Coturnix japonica: one gene and its partners. The protein of the gene in region 3 purifies or fractionates together with the protein of the main gene of each other region. This does not show direct contact. Links are inferred from orthologs where the notes say so. Each region holds a gene or a part of one and is shown on either strand. Other genes may lie near its edges.

Region 1 (5,173 bases), on a different chromosome or scaffold from region 3:
CCATCAGGAGAGGGGTGGTCAGCAGGGATAGGGAGGTGATTGTCCCTCTCTACTCTGCTCTTGTGAGGCCCCATCTGAGTACTGTGTCCAGGTGTGGAGCCCTCAGTACAAAAAGATATGAGATTTTGGAAAGGGTCCAGAGAGCGGACAGGAAGATGATCAGGGGGCTGGAGCACCTCCCTATGAGGACAGCTGCGAGGGAGTTGGGTTTGTTCAGCTGGAGAGAGAAGGTTGCGGGTGTACCTCATTGCAGCCTTTCAATACCTGAGGGAACTTACACCCAGGAGGGGAGTAAAACTCTTCGAAAGGCGCGACAATAGCAGGACAACGGGGAAATGGTTTGAAGTTAAAAGAGGGAAGATTTAGGTTGGATGTTAGGGGGAAGTTCTTCACTAGGAGAGTGGTTAGGCCCGGAACAGGCCTGCCCAGGGAGGCTGTGGATGGCCCCGTCCTTGGAGGTTTCAAGGCCAGGTTGGACGGGGCCCTGGGCAACTGATCTAGTAAATGTTTATGTTTGGTGGCCCTGCCAGGCAGGGGGTTGGAACTACATGATCCTTGAGGCCCCTTCCAACCCGGGTCATTCTGTGATTCTGTGTATACTGTTCTATTAGCTGTCCCAACACACGGGCTTCTAGCCCCATGGGAAGGAGGCTGCTCCCACAGCAGTGCCTGTAGCAGCTCCTATGGAACATCAGAGCCCTGTCCCACCCCCTCCTACTTAAAAGTAGCAGGCACTTCTCCCTGCTGCCGCCCCACAACAGCAGCATCCCCACCTTCCCATGGCCACTATCTGTCCCTACAGCCTTCAGCTGGGCTACAGATATATAGAAAACAGGACAACAGGGGCTTCCTAGCAATGAACAGAGCTCACAACGAGGCCCAGGAGTGAAAGGTTCCAACAGAGCTTTATTACACCGAGCCGACAGCACCTTTTGTACTTAAAAGAAAGTATTTGGTCTCTTGGTGGTGAAACGCGGCTTGTGCTGACGGCGCAGAACTCTGTGCGGCAGAGGGAACTTGATCTTAGAATCCTGCAAGGAAAATAGCAGCGTTGAGATACTCTTGCCCACAAAGCAACCATCATAACAGTATCAGTCTTGTGCGGGTTGGAAGGGACCTTCGAGATCATCGAGTCTAACCCCCGGGATTCGAGCCTCCTGTGTAGCAGAGCGGCACTTCTACCACTTGCACCACAGGGGGATTTGAACCCGGGCACCAGTGTTGCGATGCGGCAACCGGGGCACACAGCTCTGTCCTGTCCCTGCAGCCTCCCATCAGCCCAGGGCCCAGCAGACACTGCAGTGTTACTTACATGGAACTGCTTGACCGCTGGCCGGCGGCACTTGCTAGCAGCGATCTGCTCCACCTTCATGATCTGAATGGAGTGAGCACGGGCACGATGGCGGGCTCCCATATCACGGTCTGCAACAAGACAGCTCATAACATCGCCAAAGGAACACCAGCTTATTCTGAGCTCAAGATACGCACTTAGAGAAATAACCCAGAAGGGATTGACCTTCTTAAAACAAGGGAGCTGATGGAGAATCAGCACTGAAGTGTTATTAATGGACAAATATACTTAGAATTCCTGAATGATCGCGACAGGATACTTCGCTATCAGTCATTGCATTATGACAAACTTAAGCCTGAGGCCTCTTTTCAGTGCATGAATTAACAGAAAACACCCTATTTATGATCATGTAGAACCTCAAGTTTCACTTTCAAGAGCACTTCAGCTCCAGAAAGGCGACAAGATGCATTTAATATCTGCACACCCGACAAGAATATTGTTATGAAGAACAACATCCTTTGGGTTTTTGTGTGCATTTTGTACAGTTTCAAGTACAACTATTGACAGAATCAGCTATAATAGATGGTCTGCTCCATGAGTACTTCACATAACAGAAACTGAGATATGAGATCTGAAATATTCCTTCAACAAGGCCATTCTGAAACATTATATATGGCAAACATCTCCACCCAGAGCACCTGAAAGGCAAAGAAACCCAGCCTATATCATTACCACAGCTACAATGAGTGTGAGCTCACACCTACAGACCCCTCCAGCAGCTTCCTGATTTAGTTTCCTAGAGCTTCATTCTTTCTACCTCGTGGTTTAAGGCAGCATTCTTACCTAAGACTCAGTTTAAGACTTAAGGTTATAGAGGTTCTACCTCAAACAGTGACACGAACTTACAGCACTGAGTGACGGCACCAGCAGTGGTCAGATCCCTGTACTCTCTGTACATGTTGTGAGTCCCACTACGAGAATCGTAGCGCAGCCAAATCCCAAAGTTCTTTACCCGTAGGGGGGTCTTCTCATACACCTGGAATTAGAAAAGGGGGCAAAAAAAGGATAAACACATCATTAGTATTTCAGTTTAACTATAGTGAAGCTCTAATGAAAGCACTATGGGAAGTTTTAGGGGAAGATATCGTCCCACACCAACACAGTTGCATTCAAGCTAATAATTCTGTCAACTTCTTAATTCTGCTTTACATCAGTAAGGAAATACATGGAAAAGGACATTCAATAAGATATGTAAGTGTATGTTCTCCAAGGATTATGGATGTCCACATAAATCTTATGAGGTATAAGCCCAACAAATGAGTGTGAGGCCCAGAAAGCAGCACAGAGTACAATAAGAACTTAAGTCATTATGGTTCCAGAAAGTTAATCTTGGGCTTTTTTTTGACAATTTGTTGTTTTCTAAGCTCCATGGGTATACGCTGCCATTGTGACAAGAGGAATGTGTGGTTAACTCAACAGCATTAGGATGGTGAGCTGAGCTTCAAGTAACTTTATATATACCAGTGAGAATCACAGAATGACCCAGGTTGGAAGGGACCTCAAGGATCACGTAGTTCCAACCCCCCTGCCTGGCAGGGCCAACAAAGATGTATGAAATTCCCTTCAAAATCCCCCATATCATCGTGTTTGCCATCCCCCACCTGACCGCAGTACACAATCTCTCCAGAAGACTTTTTCATCTTCTTCAGCTGAGACACGAAATACCAGAACCGGGACTTGGCAACGACGTGGTTTGGAGCGAAGATCCGCATCCTGTAGAGCGGCGGAGTCCTGCATTTCGGCGTGGGCAGACTGCGCCCGACCACCTTGTACTCCCGCAGCTGCAGGGGGACGAAACACAGTGAGTCGAGCGGCGAGAGGCGCAGGGCAGAGACCCGTAGCCGTAACGGCGAGGAGCCGCACGGAGCCCGAAGAGCAGCCGAGCCCTGTGAGGCTGCCGGCCAGGCCAATGGCGCCTCCCCCCCTCACGCGTCGTGCCGCAGCACCGCCGCCATATTGGCCGCTCGCCTCCTTGCGGGGCCCAACGGGGCCGCCCAGAGGCGCAGATCCCGCTCTGGAGCTGCTCCGCGAGCCGTCCCCGCCGCGCTCCCAAGGCCCGGTGCCGGCCCGGTGCCTGCTGCGAGACGCGGCCGCGTTCCGAGGCCTGCACTCACGGTGCCCGACGCCTTCATGCTGCCGCCGCCGCCGCCCGCAGGAAAGGAAAGGAACGGAAAGGGAAGGGAAGGCCGCACGCGGCCGCCTCACGTCACCCGCCCCCCGCAGCACCGCCCGCTGTCCCGCCCGGCCGTTGGTGCGGTTGGCCGAGGCTGCTGTCAGTCTCCGCCCTCCCCTGGGCTGCCTTCTCGGGCCGCCTCCTTCTCCTTCTCCTCCTCCCGCCGCCAGCCGAGGCGGCGCGGCCTGCGCGGCCCGGCCCGCTCCCTTATGCTCGTGGCGACATCGCAGCTGTGGGGCGGGAGCCGGCACCGCCGCCATGGAGGAGTGACCGGGAAGGTAACGGCGGCCGGGAGCTGGGCAGCTCGACGGGCCGTTGGCGGGCGGGGGGGCGGCCGAGGTGGCGGCGGCCTCCGCCTCTTTGCCTGCCCGGCTGCGGGGAGCGGCCCCGACACCCCGCGTTGCTCCCGAGGCCGGCGGCGGAGGAGGCCCCGGTCCCTTGGAGCTGTGCCCCTGTGCGGGAGGGACCCGCGGCGTTGGAGGGGGAAGGGGAAAGCTGGGACGGGGGGAACTTTCTAGGCTGTCGGAGAAGTTGTGGGAGCTGCCCTCATTGCGGCACTGCTCGGACATGTGTGAAGCCGACGTAAAGGCTTTGGGTCCGAAAGGACCACGTAGGGTTAGCGAGAAACCTCAGGCTCTGCCTGCTGACACGACCTTGTAAATACCCCCAATTGAATGGTGTAAATGAGGCGCTTTAATCTCTAATTGTTCTGCTGCTCATCACCTGTAGTGTGTGCTCTCAGCACTTTTATGGCTCAGCTCTGCCTGCTGCGTGGTGCTGCACATCTCTGACCATATAATATGTCCACCTCCCTCACCCCAGCTGTGACTGCATTTGTTTCTGGTGTAACTGATGGCCTTCTGAGTGGGCTAGTCAAGCTGGAACTCTTAGAACAGGGTATATGTTAGAAGATCAAATGTTAAATATGCTTGTGTATGCATATTGGAGGGGTATGCAGGGGTAGCAGAGCTGACTGGCTCTGCTGTGAGCTGAACATGTGAAGGGAGCACATCTCTGAGCCATGTTACTTTCAATAGTGAGGCCTGTCAGCAGTGTGTAGGAGATTACTACATGGGGACAGAGATTCTAGTGATAATCAGCGGGAAGAATAAGCCAAAAACAGGCTGGTGTATGTTAAAACAGTTTTACGTGTGTAACTGTGGGCCAGACCCCAAGTGGAAGAAGCCATTTTTCGTGTTTGTTCTTGTCTGGCTGCTCTGGATGTCGGTTATGGGGAAAACAAGCTGGGGGTACAGGGGGAGAAACGTGTTTAGAGCAGCTTTAATCCCTGCAGGTTCTGACCCCCAGCCGGGCGGCTCAGTGTTGTCATGCAGAGCACAGAGCTTGTTTTGCCACAACTCATCGCTTTGTTCCAGACTTTCTGGTTCCTCTGCTGCCACAGTTTGCAATTTTCTTTCCATTTTGTATGAACTTGTAAAAAATTCTCCTTACTAAACCGTCCTTCGTGTTGCATTTAGTTACAGTGATTCTGTAAGGAACCTTACAGAAATACCTGCCTGAAGTCGCGTTGATTGCTGAGCTGTCCCTTTCAGGCTTGCTTCCTCGGCTGTCACTGTGCCACCTTTCTTCCAGTGGGGGAGGGTGGAAGGCAGCGCCTGCACCGGGCACGTAATGCTCAGAAATGGGAC
Region 2 (5,079 bases), on a different chromosome or scaffold from region 3:
TGCTGCTGCTGGAGAGCAGTCCTCTGGAAATGTCAATTCCTTGGGCAGTATTAGTCCATATTACAAACCCACAGTTGCCTGCCAAAGACAGCAGCACAATATTTTGTCTACTGAGAGAAAAGCACTTGTCAGTACCACTACCCTGATATTAGTGATCCTGAATCAAATGCAAAGCAGTCAATGTGGTGCTAATGTCAGCTCTGCACCTAAATAGATTATGGCAGCGATAATCAGAACCATTCTGCAAATTCTAGATTCACTCACAAATTAAATAATCACCACACAGAACACGCTATCTTCACGATACGCAGATCACATCTGCAAAGCCAGAACAGTCTACCTTGGTGTCTTCAGATCTGAGAGCATAAACTAACGGACATCCTTTTTCATGATTGTAGATTCTGAGATTTTACAGATAAAATTTGGTTTCTTAACTCAAAATCTTCAGTAGTTCTTAACTATAAATAGATGGTAATGAACAGAACTAGTTAGCTTCACTGCAAAAAGTAAGAAACCTTGATGTTTTCTGTGTCTGGTCCCCATAGGGATTCACTGCCATATCAGCGTCTTGCTACGGTCTCCTATGGTGCTAACAAAAAGTGAAGAATAGTTGTTTCATCCATCAGTGTCCTTCCTCAGGCCCAATGCTGAGGGAAGCTGCAGGATGTGAGAAAGGAGTGTTTCAGTTTCTCCCACCTGCAACTCTTTGACAATTGCTCACATCTCTCAAGTTTCTGCAGGAATGCTGATGACCCATTGGGCTCTTAGGAGGGAACCAGACTTTCTCTCATAAAAGAGAAAAATAAATGAGCAAACTAGCTCAGGGTTATGCAATATTAGGACAGTGAGAGCACAGCTAACCATTAACTGTGATTTCTATTCTGCAGCTAGGTATGAGAGGGATTTGTTTTCGTGCACTACCTAAATGGCACCTTTTTGCAGCACAAAAGCACCATTTAATTTTTCAGTTTCATTTTCAAAGACACTCCCTGTGGATCTTTCCAATCTTATTAAAATCTAATAAGACCAGCATGGCTTCTAATTAAAATAAAAATGCAAATGACTGCATATCACATTAAATTAGTAACTATGCCTCTATGCTTATGAGCAGAAAATGGCTTCACAAGACAAGCAGAGAGATGAGGGAACTAGAGTAGATGAGAAGAAAGTGAAAGAAACCTTTAAACCAACACACCTTGTGTTTGTGCTTCCCATTTTTACTTATGGGGAAAACCAGGTTGCAATGTAAAAGTAGACAAAATTAAGGTGTGAGCAGCTCAGACTTCACAGTACTGTTAGGTAAAACAGAAACTATAACAAATGGCAAACAAAGCTAACAGTGCTCAAAGAAAAAAAGTACCAGGTGGTCCCAACCTGGACATGAGATTGTACCTCTACAGTTGGTAGAGCAATGTAATACTTCAAACAGGGCACCTGGTGAGCTTATTTTGCTACAGTAATGTTATGGTATCACAGGCCATATTCACAATGCATAATACTCTGCACAGGGTCTTTCCTATTTGCTGCTTCAAACCAGTACTAAATCATACCCAGAGAAGCCTGGTTCTTTGCTTTGCCTTGACACAGAGACATCATTAAAACTGGGCTGTTAAAATATGGCCCTGACTTCATTCTGCCCTTTGTTGTGTGTCACTTTGCAGTTCTTAAAATAAGAGCTAATATGAGAAATAGCAAAAAAGAGACTTCTGTCAAAAGCATAAAAACTCATCAGGATTTCAAAGCTTTGCACGGTCTACCAAGTATAGTATTAAAACCTTGTAACCGATGAGCACAGAATAATTCCATCCTTACAATGAACCACTACTAATTCATTGGACAAGAAAAATCTAGAAGCCTTTAACTTGCATATAGAAATCGTTAACAAGCTGCATTTGAAGAGGGGAAATAGAAACCTCACTGCACGTACTACCAGGTTAACAGATTCATACCTGTTTCTGCAGCACCAAGAACATCCATGTTATCCCGGATGGCAGAAGGCAAAGTTAATGCCTGAATAGGAGTTGGAGCACTAAAACCCAGGGAACTCAAGGCCTTCAGCACTGGCTGAGGCACAAACAGGTCTCTCCATGCAGACACATCAGCTTGGTGATCAGTTGAGGTAGACAAAACTTCTGTTGTCCAATTTTTTACCTTTTTTGAAGTAGTTACTGGTGGAAAAGCATCCTGAACTTGAGAAGTCTTATTTTTAACTGCCTTCTCTTTCTTCTTTTTTTTCTTTGCAGCATTTTTTGTGCTTGACGTGCTCTCAATTATATGTGCACTGACCTTATGATTTGCCCCTTTGACTATTTCTTTGCATCTTTTTTCCTCACCAACTTGCACGTCAACTTCTGTTGCATTGGTATCATCGCTTTTATCTGCTCTGGTTCTTAAATCTTTGCACTTCTTTTTCTTTTTGGGAGGGGTGACAGCTTCTTCTTCCTCCTCGCTTTCTTCTTCTGAAAGATCCTCAGACTTTCTCTTCTGCTTGTTTCCTTTCCCCACTTTGTCTGAACTTACAAGCTTGTACTCCGTAAGCTCCTCCAGGCACACGACATCTTTAAACTGCTCATCAGCAAGTAGATTGGGGTCAATTTCCACAGCTTTCCATTTTCCCACTACTTCGATACCCTTTTGCCTCAGTTTAGCAGAAGATGTAAATCTTCGTTTTCTGAACTTCATTTTTACCTACGAAAACACTGTGAGAGAATAAAAACAAAACAGGGCATCAGATCAAAAGAATGAGGATTACATTGAGAATGCTAAAAAGAAGTGAATTCCAAAAGCATAATTATTTTCCTTTCTTAAAAAACACTTATGACTGTGAAAAGCCTTGAACATACCTTAAAAAACAAACAAACAAACAAAACCCTAAAACATGCTCTTGTTTCAGCACCATTAGTACTTAACACCTCCCTTTTCATCCTCTACTAGATATGGCCCCATCTGTTTGACTCCTTCACTTTAGATATTTATAAACAGTGAGGTCCCCTCTTAATCTTCTCTTGTCCAGGCTGAACAGCCCCAGGTCTCTCAGCTCCAAGCTTCTCATCACAGAATCACGGAATCACTCAGGTTGGAAAAGACCTTAAGATCATTGAGTCCAACCACAACCTAATCACACTACCTTAACTAACAACCCTCGGCTAAATCATGTTCTTGAGCATCGTCTTTGTGGCCTTCTGCTGGTCTGTCTCTAAGAGATCCCTGTTTACTTTTGAGCTGGGGAGTCCAGAACTGGGCACGGTGCTCCAGATGCGGCCTCACCAGGACAGAGCAGAGGGGAAGGATAAAATCACAGAATCCTTAGAGTCAGAACAGCCCTTTAAAGGTCATCTTGTCCAACTCCCCTGCAATGGAAACAGGGACACCCACAGCTAGATCAGGTTGGTCAGAGCCTCATCCGGCCTGGCCTTGAACGAGGTGCCCCCCAGGCCCAGAGCTCACCACAATCACGGGGTCAGGGCACGACCAAAGCTCGCTCTCGGTTGCCGTTAACGTCGCTCCACGCCGCGTGTGCACACCGTGGGCGCCGCCATTACAGCGTGACGTCACTGCGCAGCGCCCGCAGTGAGCCCCAGGGGATGGAGGGAGGAGGAGCGTAGTGCGCATGCGGAATTGGGTCCTGCGTGAGCTTGCTACGCTGTTTGCGTAGTGTGCCTAGCGCAGGGTACGCAACGCTTCTATCCTTTATGAGTACCCTGGGAGCTATGGTGCTGTTTGCATACATTACATTATTGCAGGTATTAGATGGTGCAGGCCTGACAAAGAAAGAATGGGAAAAATTGCCATTTAAGGCCTAGGACAAAAATAACACTAAGTCATTTGAAGGGCAGTTTCAGTTCCAGGTAATTCTCATTAACGCAGATCTGTTAATGCATCACACGTGGAGTTGCTTCCAATTCATATACTCCTAAGAGCAATTGAAGTTTGATGCTGCGTCCTCATGTTGTGTAAGAAGTGAGTTTGAACCAATGGGAATCCTCAAGTTCAGGAAGCAAGATTTGATACAGTTAAACCTGCAAACCTTATTTGTGTGTGGTGAACTGGGGATGCTGATGGCATCAACTTGTTGTGTAAGAGGCATTAAGGTTCTGAATTGTTTTGGAAAGGCATAACCGGGGAAACTGAATGCTTGCTTAGTTTTACAGTAACATTAATCTTCCTTAGTATAACCTCAGAGTGACACAGCTTTGGTACTTAGTGATAAGGCTTTTTCTACAAGATGCTCACATTTGTGTCCTGCAGGAAAGTTAGCTGTTACACAGGTGGTAAATACAGTTCTGTTACCTACAGTGCAGAGTGAGATGTTGGTTAAAATGACAATGAGAAGCAAAGCTTCTGAAGATCTGCTTTTCATCCTAAGGCTTCATTAGATCAACAGTTACATAAATACCAGGAAATTGTAATTTGGAGATAATAGCTAGTATTAGTAATAGTTATGAACCATGCCCCTTATATGTTTTTAAGACTCATATTTGTGCAAGCATATTTGATCATTTTATCAGTAATATCTAAATGATGTAATCCAACTATGTCTGAGGGTTCAAGGGAGGCTTGATGTGTTTATTACTTAACTGACAACAGATCATCCTGTCTATCCCAACTGTAAGCTTACAGTTTTGTAGATGAGTAGCCCAGAGATCATGGATTGTTCTCATTGGATATTACATGTTTTGTGAATAATGTTTTGATGCTTTGTAAAATATACAAGACTTCTCCTAGAGTAGGTCAAGCCGGAGATGTTTTCCTCCAGTACATTTAATTCTGGGATCAGTGATCAGTAGCCAAATTCAGGGCTAGGTACAGCTGAATCTGCATCTGAGCAAGTGATGTAGGTTTTCAGTGAGTAACCAAATCTGCAATGACTTAGTGTATTTTTTATTTTTCTCTTTCTCTTGCAGGAAGATCAGTAGTTAAGCAGGTACTGGGATCAGTGTATGCTTAACTACTGACCTTATTAGCCACTACAGCTAATAGAAGAATGTCACCGTATCATGATTTATATGGGTACTGCCTTATGGCACATTTTGCGTGACAGACATGTAGCCTCCGGTCTGTGGGGTAATTGAGTTCTCT
Region 3 (4,511 bases):
TGCTGCACATGCAGGAGGTCAGTTCCCAGCACTCACTCTGGTTGCCAGAGCAGCGTGTCCCACACCGTTGCAGTGCTGCCCTCCTGTGTCAGGCTGCATTCGATGGACCTGGCTCCAGATGCAGCTGGGTGCAGCACACTGCTAACAGCCACCTCCACTAATACAACACAAATATGCGTTTTAAAAGAAAACTGTTTGCTCTGGGCAGATACATTTTATTTCTCTTCTGTTTCTCTCTGTTGTATCAAGTCTTGTAATAACCTTTTCCAGCGCTGCTTATCTGTTTCTAACACACTCATGCTGTGTTGGTATTTCTGCCAACCATGGTGATCACATTAATCTCAAAGCACAGTGCAAACCTTAACTACAGACATATGGATGTTCTACGGGTCTGAGGTGTAAACACTGCCTGTTTCACATCAATAAGCAGATGCTCCCCCCCTCAAAAAGTGGCTGGTGGTGATCATCAGGCTGTCAATGCAACTCCATTGCATGCCTAAGGTGACAAGCGTTTGATAGAAAGACAAACGCACCCAAGTGGCTTCCCCAACAGCTCCCCGACAGCAAAGGAAAGTGATTTGAGTCACTGAGAGAATACCATTATAATTACATACACCTTCATTGCTTCTCACCTTCCTGAACCCTTTTTAAGTCCATTGACCATTCCACACTGTGGCAAAGGGTGACATTCCCCGCAGTGCTGAAAGCCGATGGCTCAAGGGGGCAGCATGGTGTCCTGGCTCTGCACAACACAGCTCAGGGAAAACCTGACTGATCACCAACAAGATGAAATGTAAGGAATGTCTCCCCTTCTATTGGTGTAATTATGTGAGAAATCACACACAGCACAGACTCGCAGTTAAACAGAAGCATTACCAAAGCCAACGCAACTAAGAACAGTTAAAAACTGTATTTTAAGTCATCGTGAATAAGTATAAAATACAGACGCCATCAGCATGGACAGCCTGACATTTCCTTTCAAACCTGTGGGTGCTAGAAACAAATGACAGAACCATCACAAGGCTCTGCCATGACTGTAGGCACTTCTGAGTGCAAAGCCAAGACAATCTTCACAGGCAAAGACAGAGCTCCCAGCAGCCAGCAGCAGGGAACTACTGCTGAGTACTTCCCTGCCCATGAAAGACAAGCAGCCCGGTCAGAAAATCTGAGACAGGGCAGCAGAAACTCCACCTCATTGTTTTGATTTGAAGAAGAGGAAAAACGTGGCTACGGCCATCAGAACTTTAAGCCTACTTTTGTTTCTTTGAGTTGTTTTTTTTCCTTGGCTGCTTCTTTGGTCTCTGCGCAGTTTTCTTAGCGCTTGGAGGGGGCAGTTTGATCACTATTTCATTGTCTTCTGTGTCATCATCCGCCTGGTGAGCTTTCCTGCGCTGCAGCACTGTAGGAGTACAGACCGGAGTAGGATCCTGAAGAGAGCAGAAAAACACGATTCATTGCAAAGCAGCTGCCAGAGAAAGTCATCACTGCCTCCATGGTACCACAAGGCACCTCAGTGCAGCCTTCACAGCTTCCAACTGCAGACTTGAGCCGCCTGGCTCAGGATGGATGGATTGTGGTGCTGGGTGGCAGCACCGTTTGGTCTTACCTGGCTGGTCAGAGAAACATTCTGCTTGGGCTTGGATGCTTTTGCTTTCTTCCACTTGGCAGGAAGGCTCTGTGCAGCCTAGGAAGCAAAACAGAGGAGGAGAATCATTACAAACTTCCCACACGAATAGTTCTTTATAACTACAAAAGCTTTGCTGCAGGAATCACCCAAATCACACGGGTTGGAGCTTGGGAAAGGCCCGTGTTGCTCTTCTGTGTCCTACAAATCTAAACAAGGGACTATCACCCATTGAAACCAGCCCAGACTCACAAATCCAGGGAAGCTGTACTTGATCCCTTTTTCAGCCAGTCTCTTCCGCAGATTGTTCTCCTTCCGCAGCAGCCGCTTGGCCATCTTTGCCTTCTCAACCAGGGAACGGACCTTGTTGTAGCGCTTCACCGCCGGCTGGGACGGCTTATGGAACATGCGGTGGCTGTTTTTGAAGAGGTCAGCGTGGACCCTTTCAGGAGGCATGAACTGACCTGTATCATGTGCACGGATCACACTGTAACATCACCCACAGCCACACCGAGCACCATTATGGCGCTGTAACACACAGGAAAACCCCTTGGGGCCAAAGAAAACCAATAAAGACACAAGATTCTTCACGCGGCCCCCCCAGAAGCACAAGTGTGTGTGGGTTTGCTGTGCTCATTACAGACCGTGACCCGGGGCCGTACTCACACTTGAGCAGCCTCTCAGAGAACAGGTAATTGTTCATCGTGTCTGCCACGATCTTGGCCACGTCGTCAGACTCGAACTCGATGAAGGCGTAGCCTTTGCTGCCTCCCGTCTGCAAACAACAGCACAGAGACCTGAGACAATGCTGTGATACCTACATTAAAACGCTTCGTGATTCCAGACCCGCCGTGCAGCGGGAGCCCCCTGTGCCCGCTCGGGGAACAGCAGCCGATCACTACGCACCTTCTTGCTCCGTGAGAGTCTCATTCTCGTTACGGTTCCGAACTGCTGGAAGTATTCCCGGAGCTGCGGCTCGCACAGCCCGCGCGGGAGGTGCCCCACGTACACCACGCCCGGGGTCAGCCGCTCCTGCGGGACACAGCGCCCGCGTCACCACGGAACGGAGCGGGATGGAGCGGGTCGGGTCCGTCCGTGCGCCGCACTCACCTGCGCCGCCTTGTTGCTGCGGACACGCCGCACCTTGTTCTGCACCGCGCGCTGCAGCTGCGGCTCCAGGGACAGGAACGACGGCGGTGCCGCGCCGCACGAGGCCGCCTCCGCCATGATGCTCCTCACAGCGCCGGGCGGAACTGCGTCATCTCCCCTCGCGGCGGCAGCGTTGCACATCCGCCGTCTCCCAGTCCCGGTGCCTCCTGTAGCTCCGTTCGCTCGGCCCGCACAGCGCAGGGCGGAGCCATCGCCGCTCGGCGCCGTGACACCGGCCGCTCCCCGCACTGCGCTGCTCCCTTCAGCCCCGGGCTGTTCATCAGGCATCGCTCGGGGCAGCCCGAGGCGGTGTCGGTGCGGCGCCATGTCAGTGAGCGCCATGTTCGTGGCGCTGCAGGGCGCGCTCACGGCCGACCAGGACATCAGAGAGGTGGGAGCGGGACGGGACGGGACGGGCTGGGGTCTGGGGTCTGGGAGCTGTACAGCACGGCTGTGGGGCACGGCTGTACAGCACGGCTGTGCTCTGTGCCCGCAGGAGATCAGGAAGGTGGTGCAGGCGCTGGAGCAGACGGCCCGGGAGATGCTGACGCTGCTGCAGGGGGTGCACCAAGGGAACGGCTTCCAGGACAGTGAGTGCGGGCGGGGACTGACACGGGGCGTGTGCAGCGGTACCACAGGAATCGATATGGGGCCAAACGGCACGGGGCTGTGCAGTACCGAGGGGTTCAGCCCTGTACTATATCCCAATATATATTATTTGTGCTTTATTTAATACTAATAGCTACTTGAAGGCGAGAGGTGGCTGTGAAAATAGTAGCACTCGGTGACTGCAGCTGTATTTCCGTGTGGTTGAAGTGGTGCTGCTGCCAAAAGAAGCCGTGCTGGGTGCTGTGATCTCTATCGGGCCATCACAAGTGGCAGCGCTGCTCCCTGCTGCTACAGCCTTTGTAATGAGTCTTTATCAGCAGCTGCAGAGAGATGGAAACTCGAGGAGACGGCAGAGACACAGTGAAAAGCACTCAGTGGATTTAAGCCAGGCAGGGCAATTTGTAACCCCAAAGGGAAGGGCAAGGGGTGGCTCAAGGTACCTTCATAGAACTGTGTGATAACTGAAAATTATGGGCTCTGTCTGACCTTGCACTCAATGCCCCTTTCAGCCTTTCCCCACCTCCACTTCTCATCTGTCCTCATCGTTACACATTTGTAGCCCTGTTCCATGCAAAACGCTGGGTTCACCCACAGCATAACTTCTATCACACGAGTAATTAGTCACCATTGTTTCTTTTCCAGTACCAAAGAAATGTCAGAAGGCTCGGGAACACTTCGCTACAATAAGAACACAGATGGAATCTCTGAAGACCAAGTTTCCTGCAGATCAGTATTACAGGTGGATCTGAGCATGGGGCAAGCGTATGTGGCACCTCTGATTTAGAAGTGTGGTTGAAAGGCTCACAGAACCAGTGGATCTGCTTGAGAAGTGCTGAGCAAGTGTGAGATCTTAGGAAGGAAATCGTGAGAAATTGATGTTCTGTTGTAGCATCCCTTGGTTGTGAAAGCATTCGCTGCTCCGTTAATTGCAGTTAAGCTGTTAGGTCTAAATCTGCCACAAAACAGCTGTTTGATGCTGCAGATCATGAATGAAGTCATCACCTTTGTTTGATTTGTGGCCAGAAGGGGGCAGTGTGTAGCAAGGACAAATCACAGGCCAGGGGTGTCAGCTCAGAAATGCTGCGGGGAGACGAGGGGGAAGGAGGACACTCAGCTCGGGGGTGGTTCT
Region 4 (5,232 bases), on a different chromosome or scaffold from region 3:
CAGAGAATCACAGAATGACCCGGGTTGGAAGGGATCTCAAGGATCATGTAGTTCCAACCCCCCTGCCTGGCAGGGCCACCAAACATACACCTTTACTACATCAGGTTGCCCAGGAGACTCCATAGATCCCCATAGAGACACCATAGACCCCATAGATCCCCATAGAGACCCCATAGAGACCCCATAGACCCCATAGATCCCCATAGAGACCCATACAGGCCCCATAGACCCCATATAGGCCCCATAGACCCCATACAGGCCCCATAGACCCCATATGGGCCCCATAGACCCCATACAGGCCCCACAACCCCATATAGGCCCCATAGACCCCATAGATCCCCATAGGCCCCATAGATCCCCATAGAGACCCCATAGAGACCCCATAGATCAGGTTGCCCAGGGCCCCGTCCAACCTGGCCTTGAACACCTCCAAGGACGGGGCATCCACAACCTCCCTGGGCAGCCTGTTCTAGGGCCTAACCACTCTCCTAGTGAAGAACTTCCCCCTAACATCCAACCTAAATCTTCCCTCTTTTAACTTAAAACCATTTCCCCGTGTCCTGCTATTGTCAGCCCTTTCCAAGAGTTTAAGGGAAGAGTAAGTTCCCTTCAGGTATTGAAAGGCTGCAATGAGGTCACCCCGCAACCTTCTCTTCTCCAGGCTGAACAAACCCAACTCTCTCAGTGTTTCCTCATAACAGCCGTGTCCCAGCTCACCTGCAGCTCCTCGATCTTGGACAGGTAATACTGCCGCAGCCCAGTGCCGCCCTTCCCATCGTCCATCTCCATCTGCAGAACATTATCATATCACAGTATCACAGTCTCGTGCGGGTTGGAAGGGACCTTAGAGATCATCGAGTCCAACCCCCGGGATTCGAGCCTGTAGCAGAGCGGCACTTCTACCACTTGCGCCACAGGGGGGATTCGAACCCGGGCCTCCGGTGTTGCCTCCACCGGGGCACACGTTAAGGTCGGATCAGCCCCATCCCAAGGCCTCGCCCCCCCCCCTTCCCTCCCCCCCCCCCCCCCCCCCACCCCGGGTCCCGCCGAGTCATAGCGCCCAGTAGGCCGCGATCGGCCCTATCCCCACACAGCCCCACAGCCGACACCAGGCCGGCCTAGCCCGCCTCACCCTTACCCCCCCAGCCGGCCGTGAGCACCGCCCGCCCGGCTCTACCTGCTCGGGACCGTCCACCGCCATCTTCTCTGCCGGCATCGAACCCCTATGGAACACTATTGCCGGCAATAAAGATGGCCGCCGCTCCACTTCCGCCGCGCGCAGGACGCGATGGCGTCACTTCCTGGACGTGAGTGAGCAGACAGCGCATGCGTACTGTGAAGCCTACAGATTGCGCATGCGTAGTTTTGTCCCGCGGTGCCAATGGGTAACGCGATAGTTCACGGTGCACATGCGAAGTACGAAGCGTGCCCGCCATATTGGTAAGGTCAATGACAGAGTCTTGATTTTATGGTGTGCAGAAAGACCGAAAGCAGAATATAACAACCCCTATGGAACGCAGTCAGCCATGCCAACTTACCCACCAATCTGTGTTTGTTATCTTGGCAGAGGATGCTGTAAAGCAGTTCGGGGCTCCACTCCCAAGATGGCGGCGAGAGCTGAACGGAAGCGGAAGTGAGGCGTGCCGCGCGGTGCACGACGGGACGGTGGTGTTGTGAGCACGTGGGGCAGCCGGGGCTGTTTCCCCCTTTGGCTCCGCGCAGTTCGCTGCCGTTAACGGACATTAAAGCAGCGGCAACATGGGCAAGAAAAGCAAAGTCGGGAAGAGCCGCAGGGACAAGTTCTACCACCTGGCCAAGGAGACGGGTGAGCATTGCATCCTATGGGCCCGGCTGGGCTGAGCTATGGCAGCTCCTGACCCTCATATCTGCCCTCCATAGGGTTCCGCTCCCGATCCGCCTTCAAACTGCTGCAGCTCAACAGGAAGTTCCAGTTCCTGCAGAAAGCGCGAGCGCTGCTCGACCTGTGTGCGGCACCGGGCGGGTGGTGAGTGACACGGGGTGCATTGATGGGCTGCGAGATCATGGCAACACAGAGCCATGCAATGCAATGCAATGCAATGCAAAGCAACGCAACACAATGCAACAATGCAAAGCAATACAATGAAATGCAAAGCAATGCAATGCAAAGCGACGCAACGCAATGCAATGCAGAGCAAAGCAATGCAAAGCAATGCAATGCAACAATGCAAAGCTATACAATGAAATGCAAAGCAATGCAATGCAAAGCGATGCAACGCACTGCAATACAATGCAACAATGCAAAGCAATACAATGCAGTGCAACGCAATGCAAAGCGACGCAACACAATGCAATGCAAAGCAACACAATGCAACAATGCAAAGCAATACAAAGCAGTGCAAAGCAACGCAATGCAAAGCAACACAATGCAATGCAATGCAGAGCAAAGCAATGCCGAGCAATGCAACGCAATGCAATACAATGCAACAATGCAAAGCAATACAGTGCAGTGCAAAGCAATGCAACGGTGCAAAGCAATACAATGCAATGGAGAGCAATGCAACGCAATGCAGAGCAGTGCAATGCAAAGCAACACAATGCAGAGCAATGCAACGCAATACAAAGCAATGCAAAGCAACGCAGTGCAAAGCAACACAATGCAATACAAGGCAATGCAAAGCAATGCAACGCAATGCAAAGCAATGCAATGCAATGCGATGCAAAGCAATGCAACACAATGCAATGCAATGCAAAGCAATGCAAAGCAAAGTAATGCAATGCAAAGCAATGCAATGCAAAGCAATGCAATGCAAAGTAACACAAAGCAAAGCAATGCAACGCAATGCAACACAAAGCAATGCAATGCAACGCAAAACAACGGAGAGCAATGCAAAGCAATGCAACACAATGCAAAGCAATGCAACGCAGCCCCTTTGCTTGCTGTTGTGGCAGCACTGATTGGGATTGAGGGCTCTTCTCAGTGCCTTTGGGCTTCTCTGTTCCTTACAGGCTGCAGGTGGCTTCCAAATTCATGCCAGTCTCCAGTTTGGTCATTGGTGAGTATTGAGGTGGTGGGTTGGGAGATGCCTTGGGATGGGATGGAGTGTATTACTGATGTGTGTTGTTCATATCAAGGGGTGGATCTGGTTCCTATCAAGCCCATTCCCAACGTTGTGACGCTGCAGGAGGACATCACCACTGAGAAATGCCGCCAGGTGAGGACTGGTGTCCTTTGCATTGAGTATCACTGCAGCTCTGTAAGGGATGGGGGTATCACCCTGCATGAATAGGACTCAATGAGGAGTGAAACCAGCAGCAGGGCTGAGCAGATCACTGTGTAGGGAGCTATGGATGCAGACTGGGGCGGTTGCTTGCTGGCTTATGCAAAACAACTTGTAACTTGTTGGCTCAAGCAGAACTAACACGAGTTCTGTCCTTCAGGCTCTGCGCAAGGAGCTGCAGACGTGGAAGGTGGACGTGGTGCTGAATGATGGAGCACCCAACGTGGGGGCCAGCTGGGTGCATGATGCCTATTCGCAAGGTGGGGGTCACCCAGAGCTGGTGCATGCTTGGAGAAGCTGGCGTAGCAATGTGCACTGTGAGACATGGAGCAGGTTGGTTGGGGACAGCACTAACTCTGATGACTGCTTTTCTCTACCGCTGCAGCCAACCTGACTCTCATGGCTCTGAAACTGGCCTGTGAGTTTCTCTGCAAAGGTGGATGGTTTATCACCAAGGTTTTTCGATCCCGGGACTACCAGCCTCTCCTCTGGATCTTCCAACAGTTCTTCCATAAAGTCCAGGCTACTAAACCACAAGCCTCACGCAATGAGTCTGCTGAGATCTTTGTGGTGTGCCAGGGTGAGTGGCTGTGCTGACTTCTTGTTGCTTCTTGTTGTATTAAATGGAGGCTTGGAGACACCCATTGGTCTCTAATTTCTCTCACTCCAGGTTATCAGGCTCCAGACAAAATTGACAGCAAGTTCTTTGACCCGAAATACGCCTTCAAGGAGGTGGAGGTTCACGCTAAGTCTGTTAGTGAGCTCATCAGCAAGAAAAAGCCAAAGGTATGAGGGGAGTTGTTTGTTGGGGTGGGCTGAGAGTTACTTATCATGGGGCTGTCCCATGTTAAGAGCCAAGGAAAGAGCCTCTGGCTCTACGTCTTTCCCTAGTCTTGCTTGTCCTGGCCAGCAATCTGATCTTCATGGGATAGGTGGACAAAGAAGCTTGTTTTTAGCTGCTAAGTCTGTGGAAAGCAGAGCTGGGTGGTTATAACAGACTTGCTGGCAGGTGAAGAGCTGCAGGAAGGTGGTAGCAGAGTGCTGGGCAGGCAACCAGTTTGTTTGTGGCCAAATAAATGAAAGGAGTTAGGGCTTGGGGCTAAAGAGAGTGTAATAGAAAGGTGTGGGGTATGAGGTGCTGGAATAGCCACTGTTAGGGGGGTTTATGCATTTAGATGGTGGTGCAGTGCTGGAGAAATGACAAGTTGTGAGGCTGAGAATGGGTCAGTAAAACTCCCTTTTGCAATAGCTGGCCTGTTGGTTTGTGAGTCATTGAGGTGCTTTTAGGACACACAACACTGAAAACTCTGCCAAGCAGCCTCAGCTGGACATGGAGCTTCACAAACCCTTATGTTATCACCTGTGTGCTAGGTGAGGCTGTAGGAGGCATCCTAGAGCTGTCCCCATTCTCAGCATGCAGGTAGGGGCTGTCCTTGTTCCTGGATTGCGTAGGCACGTTTATGTAGGCTGCTGCAACAACACATGAATGACATTGAATTGATAACATCTGGGAGATGGCTGAAGCTGCCTTGTGCCTTGCTGTAGCTTAAACAGTGCCTTCCTCCTGTAGGCAGAAGGATATGCAGATGGTGACACCACTCTCTACCACCGCTTCACCCTGATGGACTTCCTCAAGGCTCCCAACCCTGTGGACTTCCTCTCTAAGGCCAACGAGGTGAGAGGCTTTGGTGGCCCCAGAGATAGATCTGCATGAGCACAGAGCCGTGAGGAGGGGCAGCTGGGTGACCCAGGTCCCTTTTCCCTGTGGAAGGGAGGTAGGATGAAAGCTGGGTCTCGGAAGTCACGGCCTCATCACTGTTCATGCAGATCACGCTGGGGGATGGAGAGCTGGAGAATCACAGTTCCACCACGGAGGAGCTGCGTCAGTGCTGCAAGGACATCCGTGTGCTGGGGCGCAAGGAGCTCAGGTACTGGGGGGGACTGGGATAGAGACGAGGCATTACACTGGGTT

Evidence for each region. The genes of interacting proteins can lie anywhere in the genome.
Region 1: the proteins of NIFK (region 3) and RPL18A fractionate together in Homo sapiens (co-fractionation; 3 studies listed by BioGRID and IntAct, with this or other methods). This does not show direct contact. The link is inferred for Coturnix japonica from reciprocal best matches to the Homo sapiens genes NIFK and RPL18A.
Region 2: the proteins of NIFK (region 3) and DDX24 purify together in Homo sapiens (affinity purification with mass spectrometry; 3 studies listed by BioGRID and IntAct, counting the BioPlex papers as one, with this or other methods). This does not show direct contact. The link is inferred for Coturnix japonica from reciprocal best matches to the Homo sapiens genes NIFK and DDX24.
Region 4: the proteins of NIFK (region 3) and FTSJ3 fractionate together in Homo sapiens (co-fractionation; 3 studies listed by BioGRID, with this or other methods). This does not show direct contact. The link is inferred for Coturnix japonica from reciprocal best matches to the Homo sapiens genes NIFK and FTSJ3.

Annotation. Positions count from the first base shown.
Region 1 is NC_029516.1:30,537,923-30,543,095, forward strand, and holds RPL18A (60S ribosomal protein L18a), read right to left. Parts: upstream 3,591-5,173; 5' UTR 3,484-3,590; coding exon 3,466-3,483; intron 3,133-3,465; coding exon 2,953-3,132; intron 2,328-2,952; coding exon 2,198-2,327; intron 1,829-2,197; exon of another isoform or gene 1,697-1,828; intron 1,423-1,696; coding exon 1,313-1,422; intron 1,032-1,312; coding exon 939-1,031; 3' UTR 887-938; downstream 1-886.
Region 2 is NC_029520.1:41,191,923-41,197,001, forward strand, and holds the start of DDX24 (ATP-dependent RNA helicase DDX24), read right to left. Parts: upstream 3,591-5,079; 5' UTR 3,448-3,590; intron 2,700-3,447; 5' UTR 2,683-2,699; coding exon 1,950-2,682; intron 1-1,949. UniProt on the Homo sapiens protein: ATP-dependent RNA helicase that plays a role in various aspects of RNA metabolism including pre-mRNA splicing and is thereby involved in different biological processes such as cell cycle regulation or innate immunity.
Region 3 is NC_029522.1:20,723,104-20,727,614, reverse strand, and holds NIFK (MKI67 FHA domain-interacting nucleolar phosphoprotein), read right to left. Parts: upstream 2,852-4,511; coding exon 2,735-2,851; intron 2,657-2,734; coding exon 2,531-2,656; intron 2,400-2,530; coding exon 2,291-2,399; intron 2,089-2,290; coding exon 1,877-2,088; intron 1,685-1,876; coding exon 1,607-1,684; intron 1,428-1,606; coding exon 1,251-1,427; downstream 1-1,250. Other genes in the region: TSN (translin), read left to right, coding at 2,850-3,164, 3,246-3,363, 4,025-4,121.
Region 4 is NC_029542.1:1,242,880-1,248,111, reverse strand, and holds the start of FTSJ3 (pre-rRNA 2'-O-ribose RNA methyltransferase FTSJ3), read left to right. Parts: upstream 1-1,642; 5' UTR 1,643-1,758; coding exon 1,759-1,825; intron 1,826-1,899; coding exon 1,900-2,005; intron 2,006-2,988; coding exon 2,989-3,035; intron 3,036-3,114; coding exon 3,115-3,194; intron 3,195-3,420; coding exon 3,421-3,520; intron 3,521-3,645; coding exon 3,646-3,840; intron 3,841-3,930; coding exon 3,931-4,046; intron 4,047-4,830; coding exon 4,831-4,935; intron 4,936-5,087; coding exon 5,088-5,188; intron 5,189-5,232. Other genes in the region: PSMC5 (26S proteasome regulatory subunit 8), read right to left, coding at 718-789, 1,178-1,216.